Lytechinus pictus: one gene and its partner. Each later gene encodes a partner of the first gene's protein in a complex. Links are inferred from orthologs where the notes say so. Each region holds a gene or a part of one and is shown on either strand. Other genes may lie near its edges.

Evidence for each region. The genes of interacting proteins can lie anywhere in the genome.
Region 2: tonsoku-like protein (region 1) and protein MMS22-like share a complex: the UniProt entries of both Homo sapiens proteins name them as parts of the MMS22L-TONSL complex. The link is inferred for Lytechinus pictus from reciprocal best matches to the Homo sapiens genes TONSL and MMS22L.

Annotation. Positions count from the first base shown.
Region 1 is NC_087246.1:68,429,848-68,437,199, reverse strand, and holds the start of tonsoku-like protein, read right to left. Parts: upstream 3,073-7,352; 5' UTR 2,948-3,072; coding exon 2,917-2,947; intron 581-2,916; coding exon 485-580; intron 1-484. Other genes in the region: uncharacterized protein KIAA1143 homolog, read left to right, coding at 5,837-5,944. UniProt on the Homo sapiens protein: Component of the MMS22L-TONSL complex, a complex that promotes homologous recombination-mediated repair of double-strand breaks (DSBs) at stalled or collapsed replication forks.
Region 2 is NC_087248.1:10,792,341-10,799,434, forward strand, and holds the start of protein MMS22-like, read right to left. Parts: upstream 3,067-7,094; 5' UTR 2,729-3,066; intron 1,782-2,728; 5' UTR 1,703-1,781; intron 1-1,702. UniProt on the Homo sapiens protein: Component of the MMS22L-TONSL complex, a complex that promotes homologous recombination-mediated repair of double-strand breaks (DSBs) at stalled or collapsed replication forks.

The DNA.
Region 1 (7,352 bases):
TACCCGTCACCATATTTATCTTAAAACTTGCAGACGATTTGTATAGATACGACTAAATGCGGATTATTTCATCCACTTGCGGGTAACCTTACAAACTGACACATTGTTACGGCATATTTTGGTAAATGTACATGTAGAGTACCGGTATATTGTTCATAACCACCTTCAATACAAATATTTGATGGAAAATAGCTAATTTCATCACTAATATCAATTATAAAAGCTATTTAATATTTGCACTAACTTAATTCGCACGTACAATGTATTAGAAAGATTTAATGAACTTTACTTCCCTCTCAACCCATTGATTGCTCGATGCTGTAGTTCCCAGGGTTTGAACAAAGGCCAAATGGTCCCAGTAAACAACAAGTTAAATCTTTAACCACTTTGAGTCAAAGTGTTTACACCCTACTGATTCCACACGAGTCAATTCAAATCTACTTGAATAAAGAGGTAAAGAGGAATGGATGAAATGGAGACTAACCAGATCTTGCAAGCAGTTCACCAATCAGATTGCTCAGTTCTGCTTCTTCCTTTAGGTTTCCTCCTGTCTGTGCTTTTAACTTGCATTTCTGTAATCCTGTAAATCAAGAAGAAAAAAGGTTTGTGCGTCATAGCACGAGAACCACAAGGCATATTGCTCTTAATGTACAATGGCAAAATGACTTGACAGGGATGACAGCTGACATATGGAATGACCCAATTACAAATCACTGAAATCAGAGGTAAAAACTACATGTATTTCAGATTTCTTTCTTCCGTCTCCAATTGATTTCCAGTTAAATTGAGCTTGTAATCATTGTGTGTGCAAATTGAGGTTGACATCTTTCTAATCCCATTAACTTACCTTCGTTAAAAAAATCTTGAAGATCTACATGTAACGTCACACATCAATTCAGCCTTTGGCTAAGGAGTACATACACATTACTGACATACAAGGAAAAGTGACAACCATATATTCAGTAGAAAACTTGCTGATACTCCGAGTGACAAAGGTGTCACTTTATGTGTATTAAACATAAAACTCATGCAACAACATGACCTTAAAAACATTATAAAACTAATCTTCTGTAGGGTACATTTCATTCTAATTTCACTCCGTGTTCATCCTACCATGAGTCTCAAAATTGGTGATTTAGAGCCAGTGAGTTTCCTCTCACGTATTAATTCACTGCCGATTCCAAAACATTGCAAACGAAAATCGCGCATGCGCGGGATTGCAGCTCAAGATCATGAATATTCATGAGTATTCCTATAGATCGGGCCCGTTTCACTATTTACATATTCATTTATCAGATCTTGATCTATAGGAATATTCATGATCTTGAGCTGCGATCCCCACGCATGCGAGATTTGCGATGTTTTGGAATACGTGTGAGCAAACTGTCACTGGCTCTAAATCATGAAAAATCACAATTTTTTTTTTTTTAAGAATCATCGGAGGATGGACATGTTGTTGCATGAGTTTTATGTTAAATACACATAAAGTGACTTTGTCACTCGGAGTATTCAGAACGAGATTTAACTAAGGCTTTATATGTTCAGGTAGGTGTAGGTGTAGAGGTAGAGAAGTGGAGTGGAGCCTACATGAACATCACTTGAGGTACCGTAACTAGCAGATATTTTGTGAGCAGTTTTGCATTGGGCTTTCTGGAGCAGTGGGGAAGGGTATTTTGAAATCAATTCTGAAACTTGATCCTGCTATAAGAGAGGTGAAAAATGAGTAGTGTATTTCCATTGGATTTGCCATTATCAATACTACAAAAACTTGCTAGTTTACAAAAATATGGTAGGCCTACATTTCTTCACAAGAAGTCAAGATACCAGACTTTGAAATTCCTTTTTAATTCAAATTTCAAAATTAGTTCCAACAAAAATATGACCAAATGTAAACTAAGTAGGTGTATTTGGAGCATTTTATTCTCTTCAATTTGATACCAAAATCCAAAATCATTACCCGTACATTTGGATAATGGGATCATATGTCAGAAATGCATTGAACTTTGATTTTTCCCTCAAACCACAATCATTTTTGCCTGTGTGAATGCGATGAAAAGGGCGACATTTTTTGCTCTGTGTGCAGTCACCGATTAAACAGTAGAGACGCACGGCCAATATTGGAGACTGTCTCCAATGTGGGAGATTATCTCCAATATCAGAGACTTTTGTAAAGAATTTGGGTATCCAATTTCAGAGACAGTCTCCAGTTTTGGAGTCCAATTTCCTTTGTTTACATTTGCTGCAAAAGGATTACCTTGGCGGCAAATAAAAATGTGATAAGCAGATTCCTCATGAGACATGAAAAATTACCCCTTTTCACGAATTTCACCGTCTACTTTAAATATTCACCGTCTACTTTTGTTTTGATAAGGATTTTTGTTGTCAATCACACACAAAACAAATGGGCTTCTGACCTCAGTGAGACAAAATTTTGGGTGGAAAAAAAAAATCTGGACACTTTATATTTTTGAAGCCTCCTGTTTTGTCTTTGCCGCTTGGCCTTGGATTACACTACAATTTTGTACAAATACGAATTCAATGACAATAGTTGCAATCATCTTTCTATTTTGTTCTCTATAATATTTCCTTAACATTTTAAACTAAAAATTGATGAAACTTCGCCTGTAAATTTTTCCAAATGACTTTCTAAAATTGATCGTCCGGACACACACAACAACTGGGTAGGACCTATACGAAGTGCCAGTGCCCCGCCATTGCCCTCGGGCTCGGCCTCGCAACGAGATCTCGAAGCACGACCGGGCCGGGTCGGGCTGTCTATAGTGGTACCTATCCGCTGGCTCCAGCAGGGCGTCTCCGACTTCGACCGACGAGTGCAAGCAAGTTTAATTTCATTTTCAATTTTCAAATATCATTCAATTACGGTACAGTGTACATTCGATACCATGTGAAACTTACTCTTGAACTCCTTCTTCTCAGCATTATTCATAGTGGTGCAACCTTCATTCGCTTGATAGATTGGTCCTAGATCTGATATATATTATGAATTTGATGAATGAATCAAATTTCGCGCAAAATTTAATTGGGAAGTTTCGTGACAATTCGGCCAGCACGCGCGCATAATTCATACATTTTCTCGCCTCTGCATGCCCTACAACTTGGAATTTGGAAAGGATGCGAGAGAAGGAGGAATTAGGGGGGGGGGGGCTTGCTCGGCCGCGCCTGCCCACTTTATCAATTTTTAATTTCAAACCTTAGCCTTGAGCAGGCATTTGCCTTGAGGATTTGGAACCATGAAATTCCAAGGCATTTTCTAAGCATTTTTCATTGTCTAGTTTCAAAGATATTTGTTCTTAAAATTTCATTTTAGACATGGAAATTCGTTTTGCTCACAATAAAACAAATATCAATTTTGTGAGCAAAACGAATTTCCACGTGGACAGGACAAATTGAATTGAAAATAATTGCTGTGTTACTTAAATGATAATGATATATAGGCTTGATAGCCAATACCCAGTCAACAGCAGCACAGCATCAACAATATAAAGGCCTAATAAATAGTTCCCTATACGTTATAGGGCCTACATGTAAAAAAAAAAAAAGAAATACATTAAAGGGGTACTCCGCTGGCTGAAAGTAATTTAATCCAAACACATGCCAGGAATAAATGGATTAAAATTCTTTGAGTAAATTGCTGAAAATTTCGGTGAAGTTATTGAATTTTAAAGTTTTATTTTGTGAAAACAGTTATAGTCATGAATAGCTAGTTTGGCTGATACATTTTACGCATATTCTAAGAGCTTGGGGCTGAATACACTTTTGATCAAAATTGACTTTAAAAAAAATATATAATAATGTATCTTTGACATGGGAATCAAATGCACCATGTCACATTTGAAAAATGGGAAGGTTGGTAAAAATTGATTGCAAATCTAAGTTGAGTTTTATTCCAAAATGAGCAGTTTTTATCAAGGGGCCAAATCCACCATTACTTTATATAAAGTTATGCATTCAAATCCTTATGTACATGTTGTGAAAACAAGTTCACACCATCAGTGCAAATTTGGATGAAAATAACCAAATAATTACTATTATTTTTATGAATATTTTTGGAATAAGACATCGACAAGTTATCATCCTTATAGAAAATAATTTTAAAAAAAAGATTTTCAATTTTTTCAATTTTTCATTGGATAAACAGATGTACTCTACTATTAATAATGGGGGTCTGAAACCCAAAATAAACTCCGAAACTTAGAAAAAGTCCTGCTCTTATATTATAAAAGAGCAGTAAAAAAAAGGAAAGTAAAAAAAACCAGAAGGTGAAGTAAAAAAAAAAAGTGCCAGGGAAAAGAAAAAATTAAAAGCAATAGAACGGAGAAAATGGAGGAGAAAGAAATAACTCAAATATGAAAGAAGCTTTTCATCCTCTGCAAGAAAAGAAATCACGAAAAAGGCGATTCCATGGTAGAAAAATGAGCCATTTTCAATACTTTTCACCTGCTGTCCAAACAAAACAAGGAACTTCAATTTGTTTTTGTGTTAATATTGGCTGGGTAGTCATGTAAAAATGATGACTATCAACCAAAATGTGTTTTCCATAGTGAATTAGGGGTTACGACACACAACATTCTCACCTATAATTCACCCATACTCAACTTTTTTTTCTACCCGCTTTAACTTTATTGACAAACAAAGAAAGTTTTATTGCTCAAGCATTCAGCTAAAAGACTATAAATTGTTGTCAAAATGTCCTGTACGACACGTGGGTATGGAATCGCCCAAAAGCAGTGTAAAAATAATTTTTGCCAGCCAGAAGGGCAGCAACAGTGATAATAGGTATTCTTGGGCAACTAATAAAATCCCCATGAATTACTGAAAAGATCAAAGGATATTTTTGACTGGACTTGATCCAGTAATAGGTCAAATTCATGTTCATGGCCCGTCTTACAAAAGAGTTATGATTGATCCAATCAATCGTAACTCTATGGAAATCCATTAGTGTCATCATTTTTTCGACATGAAATTTGCATAATGTCCTTTTTAAAAAAGGAGAACACACCAAATTGTCAAGAAATCAATGAATTAATTTATGGATATACATTCAAATCTATAATCTTTTTATATGTTAACTTTGCTGGCTTTCCATAGTTGCGATTGATGATAATGATATAGATATATTTACCCAGGGTAGCCACTTCAGTTTCGAAAACTGTTCTACCAGCGGGTCCTGCTATTATATTACCCCGGCTTTTTAGCTGAGCTGCCTAGGCGCTCAAGCATTCAAGGAATTTCTTCCTACCGGGTACCCATTGGTTGAGTACACCACAATGTGGATGAGTTTCTTGCTGAATAGGAAAATAAGCCATGGCTGGGATTCGAACCCACGACGGGCCCACGACCTTCTGTCATGTCTGTTTCAAAGTCAGAAGAATAATCCACTGGGCCACAACACTCAATTGATCGGATCAATCACAACTCTTTATAAGATGGCCCCCATGTGATGAAATGTTCTCACATGCTAGATGTGCATCATATTGATTTTATATGAATTTCTCTGAATGACGTAATTTTACGGGTCAGGGGGGACTCCCCGATATGACCCGAACCTATGAGATGCTATGCCGGTCAGCCCCGCGGGCTTTAGCCATAACAACTTACTCAGAATTCAGAATATCAAGGATACCACCAACCTTAGTATATAGGCTTATATTTTTGTACCAATTTACATATTAAAAAATGTATCTTTTGTGGGACAAGTTACCTATTTTCAAAATTTGACGTATTATGAAAATATTTCTTAACAAAATTACGTCGCTATGGTCGCTACTGACTTTAGCTTTCCATAATTACCGAAAACCGTTTCGTTCCAGAGGATATGGCAGCAAAACGTCAAGTAAATTACATAAAGCCCGCCGAGCCTAGTTTCCTGGCAAAATTCAAGAAGGATGTTGGATACAAAGAAGGGCCATCAGTCGATACAAAGGTGAGAAACTGTTCTAATTCTAATATTTAGCCAGTTTAAAAAATAAAATTTTATTTATCAAGTCTAGACTCTGTCTCTGTCTGAGACTGAGTAACTTCTGAAGCTCCAGCGGCGTTCCTGCACTTGGCCCGGCGCAACCGGCATGGCGGCATTGCCACTGGCACTGCTACTAGTAGTAGTACTAGCCAGGGGCGGATCCAGCTTTTTATAAAGGGGGGGGGTTGGGGTGGTATGCGAGGGAGCGTAGCGACCGAGTCCAAGCGAGCGGAGCGAGCGAGGGGGGAGGGTGTGGGAGGGGGGTGTCCCCCCTCCCACAGTAGGGAAAATTTTTGAAAATCTGTGTGTGAAAATGGCGTTTTCTTGCATCTAAAACACCACTCTTTTAAAAAAATGGTCCCCGGATTTTTTTTTGGGGGGGGTTGCAACCCCCCCAACCCCCCCTCTAGATCCGCTTCTGCTAGCTGCTGCCACTGCACTGCTCCGCGGTACATGTATATATTATATCTGAGTGGGCTCTACCTGCTTACGAGTTACGGCTACGGCCCTTCTTCCTTATTTTATTTACTACCTTCGAAAATTTTGACAGATGTGGAACTAAACGGCGCGGCGGCTCTCCTTTTGAAGTTTTGTATCGGCCAAAATTTAAACCAGTCATTGGATGGTTTATTTCAGTTCGTTTTACTTTTATTTTTAATTATGCCAATTGCCAACTTGTCTACTTTTTTGTTTTTTTTGTTGGAAGATTGGTAATATACCGTATATATATATATATTGTCAGGCGCGTAGCCAGGGGGGGGGGCGGTGGGGGCGGTCGCCCCCCCCAAAACATCCCCAAAACGAAAAAAAAAAGAAGGGAAAGAAGAGAAGAAAAAAAGAAAAGGGAAGGGAGGAAAGGGAAGAAAGGTAGCTTTGTCGGGTTTTTTTTTCTTTTTATTCTTTATTTTTTTCTCAAAAGAGAAACTTCTTCACTCTTGCTCTAAATTTATATATGAATTTTGCTTCCGCGCTGCGCGCGGTTAAATGACAATATTGATGTTTCTCCATTGTTCCCCCACCCTTTCTCTAACCCTGCTTTTCCACCTCAGCTATGTGTGTTTCTTGCCAGTTAAAGTTCAAATGTATAGAATAGGGCATGGAATTAGAGTAAGGTTAGGCCGAAGTATATGAAGTTATCTTTTTTTTAATTGATCGCGCAACTTCTGGTCGGGTCGGCTCCGGGCGGGTAAAATCTTTATATAAATTTCTGCCGTCACCTCCATAAAGTCAACTTCTCCTTCTTTTCAGATCATTACTAAACAACCATAGTTTGGGGCAAACAGGTTCCCAATTTAAAAAGAGGAATGTATAACATTCGTGTCGTATTAGATAAAAAAGTACAATATTTTTTTTCAAATTCTATTAATCTTCA
Region 2 (7,094 bases), on another chromosome or scaffold:
TGTCAAAAATTAATGTTCAATATCCATGTCTTTTTATCAAATCAAATAGGATATATCCCCAATTATCTATTTAAAAAAAAAATCACTTTTCAGTTTTCTCAAGAAACTGTCAACATTACGTGTCACCATCAAAGGCTACAGTGCAACTGTGTATTGTCTTGTACTTCTTTGTAGAAATGGGATGCAGTATGAATTAATTTGCAGTTCACTGTCAGTTCATTCTTAAACAAGTGGAACGCCTCTGGCAGTCTCGCCTGCATTACGCAATTTGATATAGCAGCAGTGCTAACTTTGAAAACTACTATAAAATAATCATTCACAAAAACACCATTCATATAATGACATAATACCACGTTCATTGACCATAAATGACATTTGAACGGAGACTTAAGACTGTCAACTACACCCATGTCCACATTTCATTCACTCTATCCATAAACTTTCAAAGTTATGATGGCACTTCAACAATTACCCCAACATGGCCTAAGTTTATTGTCCTTAACTGACCTTTGACTTGGTTTTGTGACCTGAAACTCACAGGGGATGTTCAGTGATGCTTGATTACTCTTATGTCCAAGTTTTATGAACTAGATCCATAAACTTTCAGAGTTAGGATGGAAATTTAACATATACCCCCAACACGGCCAAAGTTCATTGACCTTAAATGACCATTGACCATGGTCATGTGACCTGAAACTCGCACAGGATATTCAGTGGTACTTGATTAATCTAATGTCCAAGTTTCATGAACTAAATCCATAAATTTTCAAAGTTGTGATGGTAATTCAACAAATACCCCCAACTTGGCCAAAGTTCATTGACCCTAAATGACCTTTGACCTTGGTCATGTGACCTGAAACTCAGGCAGGATGTTCACTAATACTTCATTAGCCTTATGTCCAAGTTTCATGGACTAGATCCATAAATTTACAAAGTTATGATAGTAATTCAACAAATACCCCCAACTTGACCAAAGTTCATTGACCCTAAATGACCTTTGACCTTGGTCACGTGACTTGAAACTCGAGCAGGATGTTCTCTTATACTTGATTAACTTTATGCTCAAGTTTCATGAACTAGGTCCATATACTTTCTAAGTTATGATGTCATTTCAAAAACTTAACCTTCGGTTAAGATTTTGAAAATAATTTTCCCAACATGGTCTAAGTTCATTGACCCTAAATGACCTTTGACCTTGGTCATATGACCTGAAACTCAGGCAGGATGTTCAGTAATACTTGATTAACCTTATGTCCAAGTTTCATGAACTAGGTCCATATACTTTCTAAGTTATGATGTCATTTCAAAAACTTAACCTTAGGTTAAGATTTGATGTTGACGCCGCCGCCGCCGCCGTCGCCGCCTCCGTCGGAAAAGCGGCGCCTATAGTCTCGCTCTGCTATGCAGGCGAGACAAAAAAACTTCTTGCTTGAATGAACAACCATTTCCCTTGCAGACAACTTTGGAATCTTTGAACATTTCTTTTGGATGTGCATTTGTGTTGTCCTTTTCTCTTTAGACTTCAAAATCATCAGAAAATCAAAGCAGTAATTCATCTAAACTCTTTGCCCTCTTTGCTTCCAGTTTGTTTTCAAATGCTCTGTTGTTGAAGAATAATACAAAACGTTGAAAGCTTGCTTTGAAAACTTTTGTTGAATGATGTTATAATCTATCTTCAGTCTTCTTAAGCATTGATACAAACCTTTGAATGAAAGAATGTACATAGAAGAAGAATTGTAGGACCTGTTCTCTCAACTTGTTGCTAGCTTCTATGAGTGGATCTACAGGATAAATATGAAATCAGTTGTAAAGTTATTTAACTCTCCCCATGCTCCATTAACATAATTTTTTAATAAATGAACTTTTCAGACCATTTTGACCCCTTATGGATCTGCATTGAGAACAGACCAAGCAGTGCAACATTTTGTATTTCATTTTCTTTAGCCAAAGTGGCTGTTTTTCTGAGGGGTCCATGTGTTTCTTCATTCAATAATGCATAACACTGCAAAAGAATGAACAATGAAATGAAGAACTGTAAGCTCAAATATTTTCGTGAAGAGTTAAGAAATTGTAAAAGAAAAGGCACAAATCAAAGATATTTTCTATTTGAATTTTTTTTTTACAACACAACAGTTTTGCAATTATATCAAAATATGCAAATTAGATGTCAATTCTTATTTTCAATTCATTATCATTTCCTTCTATTGGGTGTATCAGCTTCAAATCTTTTGTAAAACCTGAGTGGAAACATTTTATAAATATCATACAAAATCTTTCATACAGCTTTCTTGATTATATCATGCATAACTTTACAATAGACTGAATTATGAAGTGAAAAACTGTAAGCTCAACCGTTGTCATGAAATGTTAAGAATTATTGCTGTATATAAAATGATTTACTTCATACGTACATGAACAATCCGTCTATAAAAACAACTTAAAGGGGACAAGAACATTATCAAGCAGGTAATCTGCATGATTCAATGTGGAAATATAATCAGAGGAAACTTAAATTTGTGGTCCCATTTGCCTGGTGGTCCTAAAGAGTGGTCTTAAAGCAGTTTTGGCTGCCTGTTTACTATTTACAAGGCAAAGCATTTTTTATTTCTAAAGCAATATCAATATGTGACTGAGACACACACATTTGGCTTGCCATACTCCACTTGTTCATAAGATTATGCACAGCTTTGATGGACAGTTTTGTGAAAACAGTTATCTGGTTACCTACCTGTTACAGACCAATGGCTCTGCTTCCCCAATAAAGACTCTATCTTCCCAAGCACCTGCCTGATCGACAGTATATAGAACAAGATGGAAAAAATAAGAATACAGGGGAGTAGTTTTGTTGGAATCTTGGAGGGAATTTCTCAAAGACGATCCAACACAATTAGGAAATTGTTTGGAAAGAAAATTAAAAATAAATTAAAAAAAACCTCTGTGTAGTACATACACGTACATGTAGGTGAAAGTTTTATACAAGGTGGTTCGTGAACCAGCAATCTCTCCTGATTTTGCGATCACTAAAATATGCAATATGATATTTTGACCTTTAGATGACCTTTCACCTTATCATCCTCAAGAACAAAAGTGTGGTCTCACCCAATGATTATTTGTAGTAAGTTGATACAGATATAAAGAAATGAGAGCAAGTTAAAAAAAACTTGAATAAGGATAGATATTACCTTGTATCAATTAACCTTTTGATCGCATCATCCTCATGAACACACATGTGGAATTATCCAAGGAAAATTTGTAACAAGTGTAAACATATTTGATGCAGAAATAATTAAATGAGAGCAGCTTAACCCTAAAAGGACTGGAAATTTGGCACATTTTTACCTCATAAACTACAGGTCATTGTTTTTTTTTTTAATTTGAAACATTTATTCAATTATGAACTATGCAAATTCATTAGTGAAAAGCATTATTTGCATATATATAACAGCCAATTTCACTTAAAATTTTCATTTTTTCCCCCAGATGTCATCTTTCTTGCAATCTTAATCAAAGGTTTCCAAAAAAGAATCGTGAAAGCCAAAATTTTTCTTATGTTTTCCTTTGTTTTTAGAATTTCTTATGTATTTCTTTGTTTCTTCATGTCTTCATCTTGTTTTTTCATTGTTCTTTTCAATGGAAATTATTACAGACCACTTAACAACTAAATTAAACCCTAAATTATTTAAGCAGACCAATTAGAACACCTTTTTATGAATTTCATCTTCCATAAACTGTAAACAAATTTAAAGTATAAAAATGAGCCATTTTTGACATGACATTGTCTCATAAAAGTCATGTGGCGTCGTGACACTATAACTGTACGTTGCGAATTCGGTCTCAAAAGAAGCACGAGACTTCAAAGAAAAAAGTAAAAAAAATTGCGGCTCTATCTTTTTGCGTTTTGGAAATATCGCGCAAAGCGTTGGGGGGCCCAGTCCTTTTAGAGTTAAACAAAAACTTGACCTTTTGACCCTTAGATGACCTCTGACCCCATCATCAAGAACACATATGTGGTATTACCAAAGGATCATTTGTACCAAGTGTGATCAAAATTGATACAGAAATAAAGAAATGAGAACAAGTTACACAAAAGACTTCAAAAAAGAATGGACATTACCTCACATCATTTGACCTTTGACCCCTAGATGGCCTTTGTCTCCATCATCCTCATGGACACACATGTGGCATTACCCAGGGATCATATGGACCATGTGTGAACATAATTAATCCAGAAATAACGAAATGACAACAAGTAATTGAACAAAAACGTTACAATTTGAACCCGAGATGACCTTTGATCATCCTCAACAACACACATGTAGTATTACCCAAGGATTCGTTCAACCAAGTGTGATGAAAATTGATGCACAAAGAAATGAGAGCAAGTTGAACAAAAACAAGGATGACCATGATTTCATATCATTTGACCTTTTGACTTTAAATTACCTTTGGACCCAAGGATCGTATGCACCAAGTATGAATGTAACTGATGCAGAAATAAAGAAATGAGAGCAAGTTGAACAAAAACTGGACATTTTTGCAACAGACCAACAGACGACATATTAAGTCAAATTCGCAGGCCGATGGCAGGACATCAGGGGTAGACGAAGGGTGAGCATTTTTTTTAAACATCAGTCCTCATCAGCCAAATAGTAACACATCACAGTAACAATTGCCATCTTGAGGTCGCGTCCATACAACCAAAATTATTTTGGGCCAGGGAGGCAGCGATCAACATCTGGTCATCGATTGAATATCTGATAATAATCCGAAATTAATCCTACTACGGTACTCGTGCGATAACCGGACATCGTAAGATTATTGATTGAGTATCCTACAGACATCAATTGTACATGCTAAATGATGCGGTTCATAAAGGGCCCACGATGCATCTCTAATCACCTACCATTGTCCGCCCGATGACAATCACATTGGTCATACATCGATGCATACCGGTCGGACATCCATCGGTTAGTGACTAACGTCCGAACAGAAATCGGTTGATATGGCCGATGTCTGACTGATATCTGCTCTCAAGGAGTTGACCTCCGATGCTAAGGACATCGGCCGATTCATGGCTGGACATTGAACGATACTTAAATGATGTGTCACGGATGAGTGGGCGATTAAAAATATCGGCGGAGACATTAGAAAACTTTATCTCCCAGTATCTTTGTCTGATCACCCCCATCAATGCTACCTGAGAGCCCCAGCCTTCGTACGATGATCACAAGCGTCCGGTCAGCAACCGTTCAGTCAGCAACCAGTCCAAAATGGCCAAAAAACACATTGCAAGTACATTGTTAACCCTAATCGTGCTGGAATGTGACTTAGCTATAACAGACCAACAGACTAACAGGAAAATTTATTAACTTCGTTCAGGCGAGACAAAAAAGAGGGGGGGGGGCTAAAATGAAAGCCAACCCAATAGTCTTAAAGTGCTTTTAAAATGGTGGGTGGAGTAAGGTTTCCATATGAATTTTTGAATTATGCGAACTATAAAAAAAAGATGTTGCCCGGAAGGCACATAATTCACAGGCCACTATCTCCCAGCAAAGCTATTAAAATAGATCAATATTAAAAATCTCATATCGTTCACCTACAATTTAACAGGCGGGCCTGTAAATGCCAGAGATTACCCAATCTAAGCTACATGAATCTCTTAAACTGACTGGACGAGGCCGGTCGCTTAAATTAATGAGGGGCATCACTAGCCCACACTCTAGGCTGTAGCTTTTGTCTTTGCCTTTACGAGTCTGATGCTAATTGGCAAAAGGTAAGCAATACGTCTCAAGAAAAGACTAAAAACCATAGCGGTGAAGCTGCCACCGTCTATACACTCCGATCTTCAGTTACTTATTTTTATCAACTAGGATTAGGTGCAGATTCTTAGTCACAGAAAACTGCCACAGGACATTCTTTGATAAAAAGATGTATTGGTGACGCTTTGCGTAACAGCATCAGAGTCATAACATAGACAAAAGCTCCAGTCTTGTCTTAGATTATAGGTTGGCACATCATATCCCACTCAAAAATAAATAAAATGGGATTGATATCAATCTTAGTAGAATTCAAAAAATCCAAATCACCAATTCTTACCCCCCCAAAAAAAAATCAACTAACTGGGCATGGCCGTTCACCTACGATTTCAGGGCAAGACCCTGTAGGCACATATTTCACAGGCCACCATCTCCCAGCCAGATTCATTATCCAAACTATAAAAAATCCCAACAAATCAACTGACTTGGCATGGTTATTCACCTTCTAATAATTGGGCAAGGTCCTGTAGGCATAATTCATAGGCCATCATAAACCAAATAGGTATTAAATCTAAGCTACATATGATCAGACTGGCCATGACTATTGCTACTACAATTAAATGATCAACTGATGTAGTGGCCATGCCTTTGACCTTGACACATACTTTACACACCTTCATCTCCTAACTCTATGCAGACTATAAAAATAGATGTGACTGGGCATGGTCGTTCAGCTACACTCAAAGGACGTTGCCTTTGGTAGGCACATAATTCACAGGCCATCATATCCCAGCCAAATCTACGTAAAAAAAAAAAAAAATCTGACAGGGCATGGCCACTGCTACTAGAGTTTGATAGGCAAAACCTAGCAAATCAACTGACGTAATGGCCCTATCTTTCACCAAGACATGTACTTTACAGGCAACCAGCTCCCAGACCAGAATCTCCATCTCCCCCTTCCACCCCTGGCAACAATCTCAGGAAAAATGTAAAACTGTATTAAAACTATTAAAAGACATCCTTCCCCCTCCCCCTCCCACCCTGGAAACAATCCAAACCAATCATCTGACTGGGCGTGGCCATTCACCAGCCAAAATGTATGTAAACTACATATTAAAACTATTAAAAACATCCCTCCCACCCTCGCGACAATCATGAAAGCCATCTGACTGGGCATGACCGTTCACCTACAGTTCAAGGGACACTGCCCGGTAGGCACATGATTCACAGGCCACCATCTCCCAGCCAAAACGTATGCAAACTACATTTAAAACTATTAAAAACATCCCTCCCCCTCCCACCCTGGCAACAATCATAAAAAGTCATCTGAATGGGCAT